2 linked regions of the Schizosaccharomyces pombe genome follow. Changing the gene in region 1 together with any one later gene gives a genetic interaction. Each region holds a gene or a part of one and is shown on either strand. Other genes may lie near its edges.

The links. A genetic interaction does not mean that the proteins touch.
Region 2: mutations in ung1 (region 1) and spo4 together harm fitness more than expected from each alone (negative genetic interaction), as found in Schizosaccharomyces pombe (one large-scale study listed by BioGRID).

Annotation. Positions count from the first base shown.
Region 1 is NC_003421.2:601,180-609,253, forward strand, and holds ung1 (uracil DNA N-glycosylase Ung1), read left to right. Parts: upstream 1-1,794; 5' UTR 1,795-1,857; coding exon 1,858-2,084; intron 2,085-2,141; coding exon 2,142-2,474; intron 2,475-2,541; coding exon 2,542-2,950; 3' UTR 2,951-3,225; downstream 3,226-8,074. Other genes in the region: DNA repair ligase Lig4, read right to left, coding at 1-706, 761-846, 886-982, 1,048-1,147, 1,188-1,250, 1,338-1,348, 1,393-1,624; protein Spo13, read right to left, coding at 3,226-3,626, 3,678-3,693; U3 snoRNP-associated protein Rrp5, read left to right, coding at 5,158-8,074. UniProt on the Schizosaccharomyces pombe protein: Excises uracil residues from the DNA which can arise as a result of misincorporation of dUMP residues by DNA polymerase or due to deamination of cytosine.
Region 2 is NC_003423.3:3,825,547-3,831,626, reverse strand, and holds spo4 (serine/threonine protein kinase (DDK family) Spo4), read right to left. Parts: upstream 4,450-6,080; coding exon 3,456-4,449; exon of another isoform or gene 3,334-3,455; coding exon 3,166-3,333; exon of another isoform or gene 2,906-3,165; coding exon 2,778-2,905; 3' UTR 2,667-2,777; downstream 1-2,666. Other genes in the region: C2 domain protein Git1, read left to right, coding at 1-430; SBDS family protein Rtc3, read right to left, coding at 1,140-1,460; protein psg1, read left to right, coding at 5,413-5,503, 5,554-6,023. UniProt on the Schizosaccharomyces pombe protein: Required for the initiation of meiosis II and progression through anaphase II.

The sequences.
Region 1 (8,074 bases):
ACATTCCGTAACTCTGCTTCAATATCTTCAATAGTACTGCCGACCTTGTAAGGTAGAATACTCATACGATGAGATTCGCGAACAATTACTTTCTCTAATATTCGTCTTCTTGATTCTAATGAGTACTTTACCAAAGACTTCCCATTAAGATACAAAATATCGAACACAACGTAATAAGGGCTGTAGGATGAATGAGAGGAAGAATCTTCAAAAATGCTTCTTAAACTTCCGTATGGGATCACTGTTTCCAACACTGGATCCCATGTAACCATTTCTCCATCAAGAATAATTTGTGAAATACGTTTGTCAAATGCTCCAATGATGTATTGTGTCAGCCTAGATTGTTCATCGAAATAACTAGAGCCATAGGCATAAGTGTACGACCTGGCATTTCGACTATAGAATTGGAATTTTCCTGAACTCATGTGTAATTGAATACGCTCCCCGTCTAGCTTTTCTTCAATCCAAAACGGTTTATTTCCCATGGCTTCCAGCGTTTGATGGAGATCCTTTTTTTTGAAATTGGCTAGCTGAGGCTGGAAGCAACTAAAGACTTCCACATCTGTTTCAGTTTCATCAAGAGACCGACTAGGATCATAGAGCTCCCAACAAATTCTCTTTAAGGAGCTACACAGTCGATATAATCGAGCTGCATCAGGATGGAACACAGAAAGTATGAATTTTTCCGATGTTCCGTATTTTCGAACTAAAGAAATAAAAAAGTTAGGTCATAAATAAAGAAATATCATTTCCAACCAACCTTTCAGTAAAATGGGAATTAGCCATCGAAGCTCAAGAGGACTCAAGGATCTATAAAATTGCTCCAAAATATTAACTCGGGTATCCCTTATTAAGGTTAGATACGGTAAAAAATTTAGAACATACTCAGAAGAAGCATCTGCTAATTGATCCAGCAGGGCGTTGACATCACCAACTGTAAAGGCACCAGGAAAGGTCCTGTATGCCCTTCTTTGTAAAATATCTAAATTTTTTTCAGTTAAAATATGATCAGGATCAATTGGAATACAAAAACTATGATGAACACACCCTGCAACATGGTAGAAAAATCTCCAGTATGTTTGGACTCGGATCCTCTCCAATTTTTCAAAGATTTTGCATCTTCAGAAGTAGGACTCAAATGCATAGCCTTGTTAATTAGTCACTGATGTTGCAACTTAATTACTTACTCGAATAAACAGTTTTCCAAGCCCAAATTCCTTGAACCCATATGATCCTCTTTCACGATCCAACTAGAAAATTAGCAATTAGAAATTCAAGACACCGATTAAGACACTTTATGTAATGCGATTTAGTGGTCTAACAATTTTAAGTCGTACATCAGGAAGCACTCCATTAGTTAGTATAAGGAATAAAATACAAATATTAAATTACTTAGTCGAAGTAATGGATAAAGATCTGGTCCTACATGTTGTCGCCATTTATTAAAGTAATCCAAGAGGATTTTGCGCTTTAATTCATAAGGGTCAAGGTTTGATGTTTTGGATTTCCTAGTCTTTCCAATTCTTGATAACGGTTCCAATAATGTTGTAACAAAATCATAGAATTCAAGGGTGCTTGAATGATTTTGAGGTTTCGTAAATACCGTCTCTTTGGCTTCGTCCATATCTTAGGTTTTGGCTTGAAGCAATCGTTTTATAATACAGTTTATGATCAATAATATTTCTCAAATAAATAACCGATAAGAAATAAACATCAATTTAGTCTCATTATCGTGGTAGTGTCAAGTGTGTAGTACGAACACTTCTAATTATCATACATGAAAGCCTGTTCTCTGCAACGATTCGGTGGACAGTATGTTTATGGAGCAGAGAGCTGTTTTCTAATAAGTTAGGTAAAATGACTGTTCTGAATACTACAGATAAGCGTAAAGCTGATGATACCGTTAATAAACTTGACGGGAAATTAAAGCAGCCACGTTTGGATAATTTTTTTAAGACAAACACCTCATCGCCTGCTTTAAAGGATACTCAGGTACTTGATAATAAAGAGAACAACTCTGTCTCAAAGTTCAATAAAGAAAAATGGGCAGAAAATCTTACTCCTGCTCAAAGAAAGCTGTTACAGTAAGTATTGCTTACAATGTAGGCTAGAAAATTGGAAAAGGTTGTTAACCTATTTAGACTAGAAATTGATACTTTGGAGAGTTCTTGGTTTGATGCGTTAAAAGATGAATTTTTAAAGCCATATTTTTTGAATCTGAAAGAGTTTTTGATGAAGGAATGGCAAAGCCAACGTGTATTCCCGCCGAAAGAAGATATCTACTCATGGTCACATCATACTCCACTTCATAAAACCAAGGTCATTCTCTTAGGACAAGATCCTTACCATAACATTGGTCAAGCCCATGGTCTTTGCTTTTCCGTACGTCCAGGAATTCCATGTCCACCAAGTTTGGTCAACATATATAAAGCCATCAAGATCGATTATCCTGATTTTGTTATTCCGAAAACAGGGTACGTTAAAATTATTTAGTCTTTATATTTTTTCTTTCTAAGATTTGGCTTTTTGCTAATGAAGCAGGTATTTAGTTCCTTGGGCTGACCAAGGCATTTTAATGCTCAACGCTAGTTTAACTGTAAGAGCCCATCAAGCTGCTTCTCATTCTGGCAAGGGTTGGGAAACTTTCACTTCTGCTGTCCTGCAAGTTGCGTTGAATCGGAATCGCAAGGGTCTTGTAATTTTAGCATGGGGAACTCCAGCAGCTAAGCGACTTCAAGGTCTTCCTTTGAAAGCACACTATGTACTTAGAAGTGTCCATCCTAGCCCTCTCTCTGCACATCGTGGCTTTTTTGAATGCCACCATTTCAAGAAAACCAATGAGTGGCTCGAAGAGCAGTATGGACCTGAAAAATGCATCAATTGGAGCGCTGTTTCTGAACAAAAAGCAAAAATAAAGTCTAGCGAGTTGGAATCCTCTTCAACTGAGTAGAAAAAGTCAGAAAATAATTGCTCGTTTACTGGATGCTAATAGGTCTAATCAAGCTTTTTATTTTCTTTTGTCATGCTTGCTTTATTATACCACTTGCATGCTTATCTTTATTCTACCTACAATTGGACTTGCTTAATGTGTGTTATTTTTCTATGTCTTTCTTTTCGCAGAGGATTTATTTTTTTTTTGTCTTAACATTTAAATCATTCATTTTAAAGTTTAATATTTATGTCAAATCCATCGTAAACGGCACATTTATTAAAGACTTAATGTAATCAGTGGTAATTTGATTCGTTAGAATAACTCAGTAATTTTCTGGCTTCGATTGAAGTTCGGACAGCAGTTTGGATGCTTCTTAGTTTCCCAATACGTCCTTTTTCTTTTGCCCTGAGATAGTCCAATTCTCTTTTTAATACTTCTGTATCCTGCCTTGCCTTGGCCACCATTTCGTTTGCTTCAGTGAACAGTGAAACCGATAAATCTTCCATTTCTTTCTGACTTTGCTCAAGCAATCCTTCCAACTCTTCTCTTCGTTGAACCTCTCTCGAAAGTTGTTCCTTCAAATGGGTTATTGCTAAAGTATTGGCATTGTTTAATTGTTTATTCGTGCTTTCTTTTAAAGCATTTTCATTCGAATTTTCCTTGTTAGAGATAGAGCTAAAAAGCTTTGAAATTTCTACATGTTAGAAAAAATTGTTTTATATTGTATTGTCATGTTGTCCCTTACGAGAATTGCTCATCATTGTTTCAATTTTTTTTCCTTTCCTATAAAATACTAATTGCTAACTTTTTTTTCAAAAGTACAGTGGTTTAAAGTTGTTTGCTTAGAGAAAATGTCATTTGTTGACACAGTACATATGGCTGTTAACCGTAATATAAATGACAACAAACAGGAGAAAGACTTCGTTAATGTTGAAGAATCATCCGTTTATTATTTTTATCAGTTTGCTTTGTTTCTTTTTTATTTATATTTTTTTGCGTGAATTTTATGAGCAATACATTCAATATACAATTTATGGAACATTGAATCAATTTCACTGAAGAAATAAATTTATTTTATCAATTTCATACAAAAATTTTTTTTACCCAATACAGGAAAGAATTAAGTGAGCCTCATTTCGTTTTTTACAACAAAAATTATCGAACAATAAACGAAAGAAACAAAATGTAACAATTTCTCGGTCCTTGATTTCAAATCAAGATACTTGAGCTATAAAGATGCTTTGAATTTATTATCATATTCTATATGAGCTTCAAGCATATACTTACAATTACAGAGTGCAATTCCTCATTTCATTTTCATGTCCACTGCTATTGTAACCTGCCAAAGTGTAAACAAAACATTCATTCGGGTAGGGTAGGGTTAAAATTGTAAACGAAACACTAATCTAACTAACGAGAGCTTAAAAAAATTGCTGCGAACAATAATAAATAGAAGAGGGTATAAAAACTTACAAGACAATTTTGAACCCTTGAATGCTATAAGTAACGAAAAGAAATAATGGAGGTAAAAATTAATATTTCAAAGGAAATTCGGAAATAACCTTTTCGACGGTCAACATTTAGATTGAGGAGAAGGTTTTTGACATTCACTATCGATGCCATTTCAACTGGTAAGCGCTAAAAACAAGGGTTTACGCAAAATTCTTTTTGTACCTGTGATAAATATTGTATTTCTATTGTAATAGCCAATTTTTTCATCCTATGTATCATGGAAATGTCCGGCGTAATAAACTTACAACCGCGCTGTTCCTAATTTTGTTTCATTGCTACAAAAATTAATCAAAGAAAAAAAATAAACATCCCCAAGCTTCGTAAATTTAGATTTATCGTTTCATTTGCTTGTACCAACAAGCATTCTGGCATTTGCATTATTCATTATGAAATTAATAGTGTATGCAGTGCGAATAACTAAGATAAAAAAAATTAAGAAGAAAAAAAATTAAATTAAATGATCAATTTGTAAGTTTTTCTGTTTTTTGCCATGTACAATCGCATATATTGTTTGTGCACCTTTTTTAAGTTCCTCAACTCTCATATTATTGCGTAGTACAATATTCATCGTTAAAAGAAATTCTCATGATGCGTTACCCTTCCTAGACTATTTCTTTTGTAGCAGCAGCATAAATTTACTCGCTACCAACTACTTTGTATAAAAAGCTTCTTTCTTCCAGTCGTTCTTTCTTTTCAGAAGTTCATAGAAGTAAATGGCTGGAAATAAAAGAAAGAGGAGCAATGCCTCCGAAGGCTCGGATTCCCAAGGGAATGAGAGAATTTCTTCTTTGAGTGCTAACGAGGCAACTCAAGATTTCCCTCGAGGTGGGGCGTCTTCATTGACTCCTTTAGAGTATAAAGAAGCTGTTTTAGAGGCTAAGAAGGACTTTATGGAGTCCGCTTCTGGTACCGCTGAATTGAGTAAAAAAACTCGTCCTAAGAAAAAGGGTAGTAAAAAATCTTCCAAATCCGAATTGGACAACGAAGAAAATTTGAAGGTTCATATTCAAAGCTTAAGATATAAAAATATCACACCCGGCTCTTTAATTTTAGGTCAAATTGCTCAAATAAATACGTTGGACTTGGCCGTCTCATTACCAAACTGTTTGACAGGTTATGTACCTATCACAAATATCTCCGATAAGCTTTCTGATCGTCTGGATAGTATTGACAATCATGCAGAAGATAATGCAGCAACTGAAGAGGAAGACGGTCTTAATCAAATACCGGATTTGATGGATTTGTACAAAGTTGGTCAATGGGTGCGTGTTTCTGTTACAGCCCTTGGCTCGGAAAATACTACAAAAACCGGAAAAAGACACATCGAGCTAAGTCTTAAGCCGCAAGATGCGAACGGTTCTGCTCCTGAGGCTGCGGATTTTGTTGCTGGGTCGATGATACAGGCCGTGGTTTCAAGTATTGAAGATCATGGTATTGTTTTTGATATTGGTATTAATAATTATACTGGTTTTTTATCCAAAAAACACATAAATGATTTCCCTTTTGTTGAAGGCCAAAGTTTATTGTGTTCCGTTATTTCAAAAGAAGATCGAATTTTCCATCTTTCTCTCACTGCGACATCCACTAAGGCGCTTGAGGTTATGCCTTCTGTACAAGCTATTCTTCCTGGTGACTATATAAATGTTTTGGTAACGGACATCAAGGAAAGCGGAGTTATTGCAAAATATATGGGTGTAGTAGATGTCACTAGTGATATTTATCATTCTTCTCCCGTGAAAGGGGAAGATTTAGAAGATAAATTCCAGCTTGCTAAATCTGTTCCTGCTCGCGTTCTTTTTGTGATTCCCGGTGATCCCCCTAAAATTGCAGTATCTTTCTTACCTCACGTGCTTACCTTCAACTTCGCAACTCCCAATACTCCACATCCCGATCAACTAGATATTGGTTTTATCGTCAATGCTGCTAAGGTTACGTATGTATCCTCCTCACTTGGCGTTTTTTGCGATGTTGGTGTACCTGAGATATCCGGATTTGCTCACATTTCACGCCTTTCCGATAAAAAGGTTGCTGGAATTAGTCCCAATTCTGGCCCCTATAAAGTTGATAGCACCCACGAGGCTCGAATCATTAATTACAGTTATGTTGATAATTTATATATCTTGTCATTTCAACAATCTGTATTAAACCAGCAGTTTTTGCGAATAGAGGATATCGAAGTCGGTCAATTTGTCGATGGTACCATTGCGAAGCTTATACCTCAAGGAATCGTGGTAACTATTTCGGAAGGTATAAATGGTTTAGTTCCCTCTACCCATATGGCTGACATAGCCCTACAGTTTCCTGAACGTCGTTTTAAAGTTGGCTCTTCCGTAAAATGCCGTGTTTTAAGTACGAATGTTCTACGAAAGCGTGTCCTCTTAACTCTCAAAAAATCATTACTTAACACAGATTTGCCATTGATATATGACTATGAACAAGCTACCCCAGGAACACAAACAGTTGGAACTCTTGCTCGTATTTTTGAAGATGGAGCTATAGTTGAGTTTTACAACAGTGTCCGTGCTTTTCTTCCCGTTTCGGAAATGAGCGAAGCTTACATTCGTGATGCTAGAGAACACTTTAAAGTTGGGCAAACACTTTCTGTTACTATCGTCAGTTGTGATCCAGAGAATCGTAAAATGCGTGTCGGCTGTCGTGAGCAGAGTTGGGATGCTAAAAGACTTGAAAGATTTGAAAACATAAAAGCGGGTTCCGTACTTTCAGGTATTGTTCTTCAGAAAACCGAAGATTCCGTGATCGTTGATTTAGGAGACAAGGTTACTGGTGTGATTACCCTTGGCCAACTTTGCGATGGAGATTTAAATAAATGCTCTAAAGTCATGAATAAATTAAGAGCTTCTACCAAGCTTGCTGAGGTCTTAGTTCTTCGTAAAGACACCAGTAAAAAGTTGATTTCCTTGTCATTGAAGAAAAGCCTTGTTGAAGCTGCCAAGGAAAATCGGATGCCCATCAATATCACTGATCTTAAAGAAGGTATTAAATATTTTGGATTCGTGCGTAATGCGACTACATTTGGCGTTTTTGTCGAGTTTTGTGACGGTTTAGTAGCATTAGTTCCAAAGGCCTATATATCTGAAGAGTATGTGCCAGTCCCTTCAGCAGTCTATAAACCCCAGCAATCCGTTACCTGTGTGTGTTTGTCCGTAGAGCTTTCACAAGAAAAGGCGTTTATGTCATTTAAGCCTCTTGCGCAGAAACAGGAGAAAGCTGTGGAATTTATGGAAAGCAAGTACGATATCGACAATCCAGTCGATGAAACTATTAAAAAGACGTATGACTACGTTGCAGGAAAAATTACCTGGGCTGTTGTTACATCTGCTAAAGCTTCTCAGCTTAATGTTGATTTAGCTGCTAATGTGCATGGCCGTGTTGATGTTTCTGAGGTTTTTGATAATTTTGGAGAGATTGTTGATCCCAATAAACCACTTAAAAGATTTCATAAAGGTGATAAAATTCGAGTTCGCGTCTTAGGTATTCACGACTCAAGAAATCATAAATTTTTACCGATATCGCATAGAGTGTCTCCGAAGCAGTTTTTAGAGTTGAGCGTACGCCCTTCAATATTGAACATGGAGCCATTCAGTATGAAAGAACCTCAGTTCAAAAAGG
Region 2 (6,080 bases), on another chromosome or scaffold:
TCTTGATGGAGACGAAAATGATAACGCAGAGGCTGAGACTAAAGAAAAGATGGACGAGTTGCAGGCCCGGTGTGAAAAAGAGCAGCAGTCATTGTTGGCAGAGCTAGATGATTTTTTTTATTGGATTTATGTAAACTTGCTCCCGAAACCTCTTTTTTACTTGCTTTCGCGGCTTTGGTTTGGCTTGTTGGAGACATTTCGAGATATTTTAGTGCCTCCAGTCACAGATTCTACCCTAAGGAGAATTCCGTTGAATAAGCGTGAACTCAAAATGGTCTATTCGTGGTTACAATTGTTTTACGATTTTTTTCGGAATTTTCAAGATATTGCGCCATTTGATTTTTTGAATACCGATGAGTACAAAAGTGTGATGGCTATTAAAGACTATTATTTTGTAAAGTCTAAGGATGTCAAAAGAGTGAGTAGTTAGTTAACTACGGTAATGATGGAGACTTCTATTAATGTTTATTAATTTACTGAACGATACTTTTAATTTAATGAGCACAGTTGCTAATTTATTTTATATATATACAAATATGTATGTCATACGTCTATCATAAAGTCGCGTGTATTAGTTGCTAGGCTGAAATTATTTATTAAGCAGCTAGCTTATAACACTGCATTGTACACAAGAATAATGCTGAAAGCTAAAAATTAAGTTATGCTTACGATGATTACGCATTTTCTACAAAAATGAAACACACCATACAACCATAACAACAGGTTACAACAAAAGTCATAAATACATTTCTATGTAAACAAAAACAGATTTTTTTTAACGTAAAGCATACACATAACCGCACAGCCTTTAGAACGTCCAAACCATAAAAGCAAGTTATAATCATACATAAACATAACAAATGCCTTTAAGTCCCTTAGATAAGACACAAACATTAACCCTTGACTCAATGTCAGAGGCAATAGGAGATTAAAGTCGAATAATTACCAAAGGAACGGGAAAGGATTCCAAAAATTGCCATGAAGTTCAGGTAATGTTGGAATGCGGACATTGTGTACTTCGTCAGATTGCATCATTATATAACACAAATGGGAATACCTATAATAGATATACGTGGGCCATATGTTTTAACTCATTAAAGTCGGTGGTATAACTAGCCTCAACTAGTAGAATTAGTCATTTAGTTGACTTCTTTGTGCTTGCCATGTTCACGATGGGGAATGATTTTTCCGTCAGTCAAAATTTTAGTGACAACATCAACGTCCTTGCTAGTACCAAAGGTATTCTCAAGTTCTTGTTTGGAAGCAGTAATTAATTGACCTTCGTTACCTTTGTTGTTGCTAGTTGTAAAAACTTGAAAAGAGTCGACGATCTCAGTTAAGGGAACAGTCTTGTCCTTGCGCCATCTCATGACATCGGGACCGTTTGAGGCGATGATAATAAAGGTAGTATCCTCAGGTTGGTAACAAACACGGGTTTGGTTGGCCTTAGAGCTAGACATTTTGGAAGTATTGATAAATATATTAATAGACGGTTGGACAATGCAAAAAAATAAAATTTAATAGTCTTGTGAAAAGAGAGAACAAACTATAGAATTATCCAAATACAAACAAACAATTCTTATTTTTGTGTGAAACGATGCTCAACTAGGTTGGGAAAGGAAGTCCTTTTATAGTATTAGATTTGGGTGGAATAAATGCATTTTCCATCAATATGTCTAAACGTAAGTCTCTAACAGCGTCATAACATATTTACATCATTACTATGGGAAGCGAATAATGACATCAGGCGATATGTTTGTTTACCGTGTGTTAAATCCTTACAGTAAAATAATTAACGCACGATAGCACCTTTTGTCCTACACTACTTCATTACTCTCTCTGGTGCCCGACTTTTGTTTAGAGATGGTTTAGTGTGAAGTTAAGAAAAAAATGTTTCCCCTATATATTCAATCTCTTGGAAGATAAATAAAGGAGTAGTTTTTATTCAGTATTACACTTCATTTTTTCCTTTGATACGCTCACAAATCAATCTCTTTACACATGTAGCTTAAGAGGTGTCAATACCTACCTCTTTAATATGATAGTCAGTGTACATACTATTCTCATAACATTATCGCTAAAGAGTATACTGGAAAAACAAAACATCGTTATTTACAATAACACATTAGAAAGCCGGTGCGCAATCAACACTTAGTGACGTTGTAAACAATACGCAATCATCTGTTTAGTGATTTCACTCACGCAATGGCCCACGTCAGTAAGAGTTTGAAAGAGATGGATAATGGAGTACGTGACTGTTTGACTTTTTTCATGATCGAAACTTCTCGGCGATCTTTTGTTTACATTTTGGAAAATATCTTTTATCATTATGAAGAAAGGAAATTGGCTTATTTTGAATTCGGCTTTTTCTTAGTTTAAGGTTATTGTACTTTTAATTGCTGATTTGTTTCTTATGTACTTTATTCGACGACGTTGACACATCTGTTGGCTGATTCCACTATAATGACTTGACGCTACAGGCATTGTAACGATTAAAGTAGGTTAATGTTTGTCAGAGACATCTCATCCTATCTAAACATTTCGTATTTAGTCTGCTCATTTGGTTAACCTTTTACTGTACTTAGTATTTGACCGTTACACATTCGCTTTTCTCACGTGCTTTGGTTTTTGAGATGTTTGCAACGCACGCAACTTCAAATATCTTTATCTTTGACATTCATTATTATTAAGAGTTAATCGATACAATAAATAAAACTTTGAATGATATTATGGAATTCCGACGTGTGGAAATTTCTCCATCTTTGGCAGATACACGTCTACTGCTCTACAGTTGAAGGGAAATCACTTCGAAAAGGGTTTTCTGCCTCAAATCCTGACCGGGTAACCCCACATGCATTAAAGAATTCGTGCTGAAGAGCTGTTTTGGCCTTTACTCGTTTCGATGCTAGATAATTGTTAGCCATTCAATTTTTAATTAATTCCTGCCATGTTGTTTTATACAACTGGAGTTTGGAAATCAAGATACTAGTTTCAGAGTGGATAGCCCCAGGCTTCGTTAAAAAACCTAAAAAGCATCATAAAAGAAGACAATCCATGAATGAAACAATAAAAAAAAGGCCATTTCGGTTCGCGTTTTTTTTTGTCATTTAAGAATTTTCCTCCTAGTCCACTTCCTAGTATTTTGTTTTTGGGATTTGCACGTACGATGTAATTCTAATAACTTGTCCAACAAGTCAATGGCTAAAGCCACTTGATAATCTGAGCTTGTCTCTAAAATTAAATTCTCATCATTCTTCGTAATGCTAGCAATTAGGTCTAGCCAATTATGCTTTTGATCTAGTAGAGTCGGAATGTTATCTGACCAAATTTGTCCTGAGAGAAATACAAGTTAGCACCTCAAAAGTTGTCTCAAAAAGATTTGAAGCATTGGTTAGAAAACGATTTCTCTCTTCGTTTTTTCAACTTTTACGCTCAAGTGTTTAATAACTACTTACCATGTAATAATGCGCAGTTTGACATGCCATTTCTTCCAAAGATATGTGCTAATTCTACGATTGCATCGATATCATCTTCACAGCGGAAAAAAGGATATCGATGTGTTAAAAAACACAACAAAATGACTCCCACTGACCACACATCAATTGAGGATGTTTGATTTTGGCATCGAAACAATACCTCAGGCGCTCGAAATCCTCTTGTTCCGGCTCGGTCAGCACGTTTTGTAGGCCTTGGATCATGTAGCAAGTAACCCTCTGGAGGATCTGCTATCGTTTTCTCAAATGGAAAATAATCGTAATATTTTCCTTCTTGCTTCAGTTTTCTCAATTTATCGACACAGCAATTTTCTGTAGGTGCATCTGCCTCTTGCCATTGAGCTAATCCAAAGTCAAGTATGACTCCCCTTTGGGTGTAAGGATTCCAAGCAAAGTTACCTGGTTTGATATCTCGATGAATTATGCCCTTTGCATCTATATGTGCCAACCCTTTCAAGAGGTCTCTTAAGTACGCACCAATTTCTGGAAGAGAATATTTCATATAGAAGTCCCGGAACTCTGCATGTTGTATAAACGGTAGTACAATTAACACTTGATCTTGATGTCTTACAGCAGTTATCATATTTAGTACACAATCACTGCCTCGTAGTTCATGTAGCATCTCAAGTTCAGTTTGGATTCTTGAGGGAAGAACGGTGGCATAAATTCTTTTCAATGCAACAAAATGGTTTTTTGGTCTCTTGGTTTTGTCATGGGGCATCTGATCTTCTATTTGAGATGATATCCAGTAGGAGTTATCGTAGCTATCGAAATGTCTATCCACCGCTTTAAAGACGCTGCTAAAACTTCCTGCTCCTACTAACTTAACCACATGATAGTCTTCTTCAATGGTAGGGAATGCTTGCACCAATTTAGCAATTTCTGGTCGATCTTCTCGATCTACATCACTGGCGTATACACCTGAATTTCCGAAAGGTAATAGCATGGAAAGCATTTCCTGTTTTAATTTTTATTTTAGTCGCCTTTTGTTTGGTAAAGTGCGGGCTGTTAGATGAGGCACAATTTTCATTAATAGTTTGTTTGTTTGTTTACTTCGCCAAACCCAAATATTTCCCTCTAAGCAAAACTTACTTTTTGTTCCCTAAGCTTTGCTATATCGGCCCAAAGCAAATGAAAATGTAAACAAATGATGCCAATGAAGCACTCCAATTTGTTTATACAAATTTTCAATCCATGATCATCATTAAACGGTAGACAGTGTCAAAGTAAATTACTAGACCAGCTAGTAATTTAAATTACATATATTTCCTTTATAAAAAAATTTACTTTAGCTCTATAACTGGTAACATTTAGAGTCCTATTTAGAACGAAAGCATAATTTATCAAAATTTTTTAGTATGTAAACAATAAACAGCACACCTGTCATAACCAATTTTTGAGATTTCTTCAACACTTGGTTGATTCTTTACTAAATTAATTTAATATTATTATTTTTTCTGTTTATTTCTTGTACATTGTTAAAGGTTTTTGTTTATTGTTTACTGCTTACTACTGCAGTTCGTTTCCAACATAATTATATGCTAGACTGTTATAAATAGCTTTTTCTTTCTATACTTTAAGCCATGCGGATACGGCAAACGAATAACCGAAATTTATTTTATTAGTGTAAAGTTATCTGGGTTCTGATGACAGCATTTTCAACTCATATATTTCCACTCTAAAAAGGATTTACTAATTTTTTTTGTTGAATACGATAACAGTATCATTCGAATATATACAATGATATCGCATTAACGAGTACGAGTTAATTTTACACTTCCGTCCCTGGCTGTTGATGTATCTTCCGCAGACAATTGCCGTATCACTGAGTCTATGCTAAAGACATTGTAAGATTCACGTTAGAGAAGACCGTTTTTTTATTTTTTTTAAGCTACAAAGAAAACTTCGGGTTCACAAAATGAAATTCTTTCTAGGATCTGCTTTATTCTTAATCCTTACTTTTATCAATCTTGTTCGGGCTGAATTTGAGTTCATCACTCCTGCTGAAGGTATGTTTTTTATTTAATTTTTAGTATTGTAAAACTGACTTTTGTTTAAGATTCTCGATGGGCTAGAGGATTTACTTATGCTGTCAAATGGAAACAACCCACTGAACAGTTTGTCGAAATTGCTTTGCAATATGCCGACTCCAATAACACATTGATTACGAGCAGTGGTGTTATTCCTTCCAACCAAACTTACTGGATGGTAAAGATAGATAAGAAATGGCTTATGAAGATGGACAACATTACTGCGCGAGTTGTTGCTGTTCCTCAAAATGGTACCGCCAGCACGGTATATGTGGGTCCACAGGTCCTATTAGCGAACACGTTTTACTGGAAGATGGTAGTGGATGTTTCCCCTGCATTTTCTGTAAACCCGATTGACAAGAAACTTGCAATTGGGTTATCCGTTGGTTTATCCTGTTGCATACTGATCGTTCTATTTCTTCATTTTGCAACTAGGAGAGAAAGAAGGATTTTAAAAAACGAGAAAGAGCTGGAAATGTCTTCATATAGAAAGCATTAGCGTTTCTACTTTTCTGCGCCAAAAAATATACTATCTCATTCATCAGAACTGTTTCTA